Linked DNA regions of Tribolium castaneum. The main gene of each other region encodes a partner of the protein of the gene in region 2 in a complex. Links are inferred from orthologs where the notes say so. Each region holds a gene or a part of one and is shown on either strand. Other genes may lie near its edges.

Region 1 (3,733 bases), on a different chromosome or scaffold from region 2:
TTTGGCGCTTGTGGAGCACTTGGTTTCGGTTCAATTTCCTCGTCACTGTCCGAATCACTCACTTTGATTATCAACGGTTTAACTAATGGTTTAGTCACTGTGATTTTTTTCGTGGTTTTAAAGTTATTTATTGGCCGTTTTGGAAGCGCAGTTACTACTGGTTTCGGAAGTGGTGGAGGAAGTGGTTTAGTGGTTACACTTTTCTCAGTGATATTTTTCGCAAGGCCCGCCAACAGGGAGGCCCTTAACACGTCCTCATCCTCCTCTAGGTCAATAACCGGGTTTTTTTCCTCCGTTTTTTTCTCATCTTTCGGCGTATCATTCTCTTTATTTTCGAGCGTTTCTTCCTTTTTCCGCTTCCGGCGTTGGAATTTGTTCAAAATCGCGGTCTTTAGCGCTTCCAAACGCAAATTCTCCAGTTCAGTATCGTCCATTTTATCTGAGGTGTCTTCGTTTTTTTGGGGGGGCTCGGGGGCGCTCGCGGCCAGGCCCCCCATGGCTTTGAGTCGTGTCTCGAGGGGTTTTTTGAGCCCCTCATCACTACCACTGATGTGGATCGCCTCTTTTAACTTGCCCTTGAGATCTTGAGGAGGTGACACATCACTGTCACTGTCGTCAGACGACGGTATTCGGCGCTTTTTGCGCCGTTTTTGGTGCTTTGATTTACGGTGCAGTAGCTTTTTAGTTTTGATCTTGTCTGATTCACTATCGCTACTTAAAGGGGGTGCACGTAAATGTTGGTTAGTTGAAGCAAACTTACCAAAAGTTGAATCGATGATGGAATTATCGGAAATGGCTTCGAAATCATCATCGTCAACTATTTCACCGTCTTCTAACTGATCACTTGGGCTCGGATCGCCCATTTTTACGTATTTTATTGATTTTTTTGAGAAAGAACAAAGGTTTCTCACAAATGGCGTGTCAAATGACAATGACAGGCAAGGGCGGCGCTGATAACGCTACCAAATGTCCCTAAAATGCGAAGCTAATGTGTGTGTATTCTATGGCTAATTTACACAAAATGACCAACAAACGGCCTGGAATTTACGCCCTTTATTCAGACAAGCGTTTACTACCACAAAACAGTCAAGAAATGACTTATTCTTCACACAAGGCACTGAAAATCAAGCGCCGTTAGTGGTGCCAACCTAGTGAATTTTCCCAATTTTGGGGAATTCTTTTAAAGTTTTTTTTTAAATAATTTTGAAAAATTCTAAGTAAAACTATAACTTTTTGAAAAAGACATCTAAAAGATAACTTGAAGAATGTAGAAGAAGCAGCAACATGACAAAAAAAAAACACATTATTTTACGATTTTTTATTCATATCAAAAAAATATTCTCATCACAATAATAAAATAAACTATTTCTCAATAAATTGGTTCCGGCTGTTGCGTCATTAATAACCCGAAACGTTTTTTGATTGTGATTCGCTCACGTGAGTATTTGTCCTCGGGTGAAAAACGTGCTAAAACAATAATGAGTTCACGTAAACCCCCCAAAATTCACGAATTGTTACCTGGATGTGCCGAAAGTGTGGGTTTTCCTGAAGGGTCAAATTTCTACAAAAAAACTCATTTATCACAATATTTAAGACAGTAAAGTAACACTCACATTTAAGGTGTAAACCCGGTTACCGTCTTTATCCAAATAATACATTAAGTACATCTTGAATGAAGAAAATTCCCACAAAAAAACGATTTTTTTCGCTTCACAACAAATGTGGTTTAAGGTTAGTTTTGGTTACCAATATGACGCCGCATGGTGACATAACACAAAAGTTACTAAAGTTAGGTTATTGTAGGTTAGATTTCTGGCGCACTTTTCTAATCAAACATAATTATGGAAATTGCATCGCATTTGAACGATTCCAAGGTAGTATTTAAGAAGGATTTTTCGGAATATGGACAAATACTAAACATTGAATTCTCCCCTTTTATTCTTTCCCAAGATTTGATTTTAATTGGGTTCGAAAGTAAAGTAGTCCTGGGGCATTTAAAGATAGATGAGGTATGTTTTGTAACAATAGAATGATGTTTGATTTATTAAAATTGTAGGAACAATCGCTGGAACTCGATATTTTGGCAGAATTCACTCTTAAATCACGCTGCTGTTCCTTAACATTTTCCCCAGAAACATCAACCAGCATTTTACCAAATAATATAATTTTCGCAGCGGCCTGCAAAGACTACAAGGTGCGAGTGTTTCGGAGTGATTTAAGGGGCTCTGATGTGTGTAAGGTTCGTAAATAAATAAATAAATTGATTTGAATTGGCATAAGAGTAGGCTGTGATTAGTAAATAAAAACCTTTTTTTTTAATTATTTTTTTGACTAGGTCTTAAGTGAGCACAACAGTTACATAAACGACGTTAAATTCGACCCTGACAATAATTTTCTGGTGTCAGTGAGTGACGACAACACTGCCAAACTATGGGACACCACCGATTTTCAATGTGTGGTGACACTGCAACTGACGTCACCTGGAATGTCAGTATGTTGGCACAAAGACGACGGTTCAAAATTACTCATTGCTGAAAAAATCGGTTTAATTCGTTTCTACAACGTTGAGACGCAAAATCCAATTCTATCGCTTGATTATGGGAAGCCCCTAGCTTGTGCCCATTGGGCGCCGTCCGATTCGCAATTAGTGGCATCATTGCAGTTAGGGGAATTACTCATTTGGGATTTGTCAAAGCCGTGCGTTCCGGCGAGTAATACTCTTGTTTTTACCGAAGCTGGAGGTTTTGTTAGGTTTAATTCATTTGGGAATTTGGTGGCGGCGATTAATAGTCTAGATAGTACGTTGAAAATTGTTGATTGTCAGATTAATCAAATGAAGTTGTCAGTTCCTGTCACACTTCCGAGTAATGTTAGTTGGCATTGCCGATATCCAATTGTTTGCGTTGGCGATTATATGACGTTGACTTTTTGGAAAGTTGTCTCAAAATAAACATATTTCACATAATTCTGTGTTTTATTTAATTTTTTTCTCCGGAACTTCTTACCTGAGTTCTTACACACTTTTCATGAGTATTTTGATTTCAGAAAAAATACAAAAAATTTTATTACATATACACTCAATCATGGAGGGTTGTATATGTATGTTGGTAATCTTTTTTAAATAGTACTAGAATCAAAAAAATCGATGTTCTTTTAACTGTCATTGAAATAAATGTGTTATAATCATTATTTGATCAATATTTTCAAAAAATCTTAGTAGCCTTGCAATTTAACAATTGACAATGCTGAAAATTTTAGTACTTCAAACATTTGTTTATTAAATTAAAAAAAATCACTTACTACAAAAGGTTCAAGAGATGATATTTTGAATGAAAATTTGCATAAAAATTAACATACACATTTTTTTTAAATAAAAAAACGCAATTTTGAGTTTTTTTTAATATTTACTTAATACAATTTGTTTCCTCTGTGTAACTGTGCTGTGCTACAAATAATAGGAAATACGATAACACAGTTATCGCACAAACATTGTTAATGATACGAAAATGGAGCATCCGTGATTTTTTTCCCCAAACAAGTGACATAACCTATCACTACCAGCCTCATACTTATTCCAAAACCCTTCCAACGTTTTTTCCCAACAATTATCGGTCCCCACATCTGAATTAATAATAATTTTCCCGCCTCACGTATCCATAAACACTCCAAGTCATTTATTGTGTAACTAAGTATATTATTGGTTCATAAAAGAAATGTAACAAAATGGTTTAGA
Region 2 (5,500 bases):
TAATAACTGCACAGTAAAAAATAATAAATGCACAGTAAATAATAACATTTCAAAACTAGAGAGTGTAGAATTCCACATTTCGAGTTTTACGTTTTCGAGCTTAATCGTTCGAGGGGTATGTTTCCTTTTAGTTCGCTGGGGCAAAGCCCCAGCCTGCAAGCTAGCTACTGAGCGTTTATTATTTAAACTGTGCAAACTGAAACTATATACTGTACATATACGATTTTTTTACTGAGCAAATTTTAATAAAATACTGTGCATGGTTTACTTGTCATTTAAATCTTTTACTGTGCAAAAATGATTTAAATACTGATCATTATTATTTTTACTGGACCAAAGAATGCGATCAACTGGTCGTTTGGATCCCTTTTGGATCTTTTACCAAGAGAATTTCGTCAGCCCAGAGGTACGAAAACCGTTGCTGCAGAAGAAGCAATTTTTAGAAGAATTTCTGAGGAGTTCATGAACCGAATTCATGCCGCTAATGCTACGATCACCCCAGGAACGCTATTACAAACGGTGCATGCCAAAACTTTGAGCATTTATTATAATTTTTAGTGCATTGTTTATTCGTACTTGAAATTGTTTAAAATATCATTACAATAAATAAAGTTGTTCTCCGCTCTGTTGCATTCAGCGACATAAATAAAAATTTTAATAATGAGCAAAATAGTTCGACTTAGAGTTCCTTTATTGGGAAATTTATTTATTGTAAATATAGGAACTCTAGAAATTAATAGAGGAAATTAATGGTGCTATTCTCTAACTTCTGTTACTATGCAATTGCTCTATTACTGTAAAAATTACAGCTGTTATTTAAATTCGTATTCCGTAAACTCTGTTACCCTCTGTTAGTAACATTTCTACCGCAACATTCTCTGTTAAATAACAGCGACAAAAATCTTTCCATAAACTAACAGTGACAGTGACAGATCGTGAATTTTTACGATGTTTCAACAAATTAACAAAAAATTGCATTAAAAATGTGATAAGTGGATAACACTAGAAGCTTAGAATCACGCAAACAATTCGACCTTTGGTTTTTGAGGTACAGGAAACGAATAAAGGGGATAACACTGGTCTTAGAAAAAAATCAACTAGTATAATTATCCATAATGTTGCAAAGGTAATCTTTGGCAACCCTAAGGGGCAAAGAACACAACTTAAAATTCGTCAGGAACCAAAATTTGTATAAACAAAAAAATTAACACTGTGTACTCTTCATTTTGGAAACATTATTCGGTGAAATTAAAACAGAATTTTTTTAATTTGTATTATATATTTCAAATTAAATTTTTTGACTTTCAATAGCTATTTCGTTTCTTCCAAATTCTGTTTCTCCCTTTTATTTATTTTGCGTTTTGTATAGCACAAAATAAAATAATTCGATTTCAATTTGATTACCTAATAACTAATCAGACACGAGATCCCACAGAAATTATCTCAAAACAAAAAATGTGATTTTTTTTTCAATAAACAAGGATATCATTTGCCTTGATCTGCACTCGTCTTCTGCATTCACTTTTTTTTAACATTGTAGTGAAACTTTTTGCGATACCAAATTCGAAATGATAATTTTATGAAAATTTCTTGACATTTTCGAATAAAATATTTGAATCAAGTAGTAAGCCATACGTCAAAATCGACTTCCAATATCTCTAAAATTACATTTTCGAACAAATGGGAACTCGGTGACCCTTGAATCTTTTGCAAAAAAATAAGTATTCTAGCTTTATCCAGAAGGAGGATATAATAATGTAAACACAAAATTTGACCACTTTTAAGTTTTTAAAAAATTTTTATAGAAACGTCTTTTTCATAATGAAGGCAATTTTAAACAATAAATATAACTTAGGATTCGAAATCAGGAGAAAATTTTGCATAAGAATAGTTTAAAAAAACCTATGTCTTCCAATCTAAACAAACAAATAAATTATTAATTATTGCGAGCTACTGATGGACCTTTTTCTGGCCAGTTGACGTAGAGTGTGGCGGCAATTGTGAACAGTTACTATTTAAAACATGGGGTGTTATACTAAAAAATGAAAATTTTTACATGGATAGCCAATAACAAAATAGGCGACCCAGATTTTTTTATTTTAACCAAAGCTCCACCGTTTTGGAGAAAAATAATTGAAAAGGTGAAAATTCCTGGCCTGACGTCAGCAATGTTGCTGTTTGACAGAACTAGAGATAGAAAACTTGCCAACAAAGATAGCTTGAAAGATGTGCTTCAGGAGCAGTCTGCAGTCATTTTACCAAAACACAAACTTCTGCAAAATATTAGCACACAACACAGTCGCAGCGTTAATTGTATGCAGGAAAAACTGACGAATCATTAGTCGTGACATTGCTTACGTCACAGCGCAAATTTTCTATTATTACTAAAAAAGTACCGATTTAAAATAACTCAGACCGATTGTACTAGGACATCATTTTGTGTCTACTTTCAGAATCTACAATTTCCAAAAACTTTTACTTTTGAGTATAACACTCCATTCTCTCCCTTAAAGACCATTAAATTAAATTAGCCAGATAAAAATTAGTACCAGCTTTAAATAAAAAAAATACTATTTACGATAATGCCAACCTGACGTCCCTTTGGACAGTTGATTATACGAAAGAATCGACTATATGTTATACATTTTGTGATTAAAAAAGAAATGTACTCCAACAAGGACAAAAAGAAGGCAACCGGAAATAGGAGAAAGTCTGATCTGAACAATCAATAATCAATATTAGTAAAGGATAAAATGTTATCACACTTTAAACTGTTGGGTTCAATTTCAACATTCGTAATTTGACAGTCATTTCCTTCCTCTTAGAAAACCAGAATGCAAAACATACCAACACGTTGCTGGATTTGCGCTATTCATCCCCGGATACCAACAATAATCGTAGATGAGTCCACTCTCAGGCACACTGACAGCGGGGCTGAGCGCCACAAGGGGTCGGCTATTCATGATTGTCTCCCCCGTGTAGAGATCAGTTGGCAGCTCCATGACATGCATCCCAGCCCCTCGGACCACAGTAAGGAGACAGGTCCCATCGGGCGACCACTTACACCCTTTGAGGTAATGTTGATCGGCATAATTCGACCACTGACACCGTGCTAATTCTAAAGCTGAGTTCTCAAAGTTATAATTGGCGTACGAGACGAACGACTGCCCGAGCACGGCCTCGCCCGCTTCGTATTGTTGTTGATCCGTCACTGTCTCCGTCATTTTTATTAACGACACCTAAAAACTAAACACATTCACGGCTTTTTTACAGTCAACACGACAAAATTGCCACAAATACACCGAAAATGGATCAACAACGTCGGAATGTGTCTACAGAAAATGACATAAACGATCGCAAGTCGCCAACCGAAATCAGCCGCGACGCAAAAAACACCAACATCGTGGCGGGAGATTTAAATTTACTTTTATACACCGTGGTTCAAAAACATGTTGCTAAACGCTAGGATCTTATAGCGATCATCAAGACAGAAAATTTTTGCTTATAAACCCCTAGTCGCTAATGAGCCATTTTGTCTCTGGAGCCATTTACATAAAAGAGTATGCAGACATGTATTGCAATTAATTGCAATTAAAAACAACACAACAAATTAAAATATACCCTGTTGTTATAGAAAAATTATTAATTACAATTATAGTAAGTGAAGAAATCATTAATTAATTAAATTAAATAATTAAATGCATTTTCAAAACCAATATAATATACTATATTTTCACATGGATAACAACTAGCTGTAGAGTTGTTAGGTTGGTACACCGTGCCTACAGTTTTTCTAGTGTACAGATTGGCAGTACTAATTCCATTTCAAAATTTGACACCTAGCACAAGTGCAGTCAAGTACTGAAATAAATTGTTTATTTTTTATTAAAACAAAATATTAGTCCTGATACCCTGATTCTAGACCATTTTCACAACTTTACAAATTTAATTTAAGTGAATATATAACAGATTTTAAAAACTTTCAGAGGTTCTAACTTACTTTTGTAGACACTGTCAATTCTGACAAATTTCTTATTATAAGTTACTATTAGCTGTTTCAAAACTATAAAAACGCTAACGTCGCATTTTACCAAATTATTTTTTTAAATAAGATTGATAAAATTATAAAATAGTTATTAATAATTGTAGATCTCTCATTGAGACTATAAATTAGTTCGGCAATTATTTTCTTAACGTGAGTGAATAATTTATAACAGCTAATTTTGAGAGAAAATGAGACGTTGGCGTTTTTATAGTTTTGAAACAACTAATAGAAACATTGGCACTCATTTAGAGTATAAAGCCAAGTTTAAGAGATTTACACTAGGAAATGGTTTTTATGAATGTGAACCCATAATAATTGAAGAACCAACGAAATGTTGACACTTCTATTAGTTGTTTCAAAACAATAAAAACGCTTACGTCGCATTTTACAAAATTAAATTTTTGAATAAGGTTTATAAAATTGTAAAATAATTAATGATCTCTCAATGAAACTATAAATTGAGCCGTCTAAATGCAAAACCCATTCTTTGATAATAAGTTAGTTTTGAAATATTTGCGAAAAATTATTTTGAAAAGTTATAATGACATTTGAAGGCCATTTTTCTTTATGTAGCTTTATGTGTAAAAATTGATTGCCATATGCTGTACCTACAAATCGTGGTTCACGGATAAAAGAGAAATTTAGATTTACAGAAAACAAAGGGTGAGGTTTGCATCTGATTCATGTAAATAATTGTAATAATTTAAATAGGTACCTACTTAATTAAAACAATTCAAAAACGATTAAGCAGCAGTTAGGAAATATGTTGAAACAAACGTTCTTTTTAAATTTTCAATTCAGCAATAACTGAGAACTAAGAAAATTCAAAAAGTCACATGATGCCATCCTACAGTTTCAATTGGTTCCAAAAGTAAATGGTTATTTTTGCACTTGAATTGAACTCAAAATTTTTATATAGTTTTACTCTATTAAAAAATGAATTTTGTAAAAAAACAAAGAAATCATGAAATTGTTGTTCAAGTTCAAAATATAAAAATGCAAGTAAACCATTTTTCGAATTTTTGGCAAAGAGTTACTCTTGCACTTAGACGGCTCAATTGCACTAATTTTTAATTTTTAGAAGTGCTTGAATAATTTATAACAACTAATTTTGAGAGAAACTGCGACGTTGGCGTTCTATACAAAAAATTTAGATATAACAAAATACAAAAATTATTCAGAAATAAAGGGTCTTTTGAATAAAAAAAGAATTACACCATTCAGACAACGTATAATATTAACTGGTCGTAAAATGCGTTCAACTCTTAATATTAGCTATTTCAAAACTATAAAACCGCCAACGTCGCATTTTTTCTTAAAATTAGCTTTTATAAATTGCACTTCAAAGAAATAATGGCAACTGTAATTTATACTTTCAATGAGAGATCTAATCATTGATATCTATTTTACAATTTTATCAATCTTATTTAAAAAAATAATTCGGTAAAATGCGAC

The links. The genes of interacting proteins can lie anywhere in the genome.
Region 1: WDR79 (region 2) and Nop10 share a complex: the UniProt entries of both Homo sapiens proteins name them as parts of the telomerase holoenzyme complex. The link is inferred for Tribolium castaneum from reciprocal best matches to the Homo sapiens genes WRAP53 and NOP10.

The regions. Positions count from the first base shown.
Region 1 is NC_087402.1:810,318-814,050, reverse strand, and holds Nop10 (H/ACA ribonucleoprotein complex subunit 3), read right to left. Parts: upstream 1,757-3,733; 5' UTR 1,732-1,756; coding exon of another isoform or gene 1,673-1,731; 5' UTR 1,668-1,672; coding exon 1,614-1,667; exon of another isoform or gene 1,596-1,613; intron 1,562-1,595; coding exon 1,519-1,561; intron 1,468-1,518; coding exon 1,370-1,467; 3' UTR 1,304-1,369; downstream 1-1,303. Other genes in the region: DNA mismatch repair protein Msh3, read right to left, coding at 1-863; nucleoporin Nup37, read left to right, coding at 1,673-1,731, 1,804-1,874, 1,951-2,009, 2,057-2,239, 2,336-2,950. UniProt on the Homo sapiens protein: Required for ribosome biogenesis and telomere maintenance. Part of the H/ACA small nucleolar ribonucleoprotein (H/ACA snoRNP) complex, which catalyzes pseudouridylation of rRNA.
Region 2 is NC_087399.1:12,232,358-12,237,857, forward strand, and holds the start of WDR79 (telomerase Cajal body protein 1 homolog), read right to left. Parts: upstream 3,378-5,500; 5' UTR 3,225-3,377; coding exon 2,848-3,224; intron 1-2,847. UniProt on the Homo sapiens protein: RNA chaperone that plays a key role in telomere maintenance and RNA localization to Cajal bodies. Specifically recognizes and binds the Cajal body box (CAB box) present in both small Cajal body RNAs (scaRNAs) and telomerase RNA template component (TERC).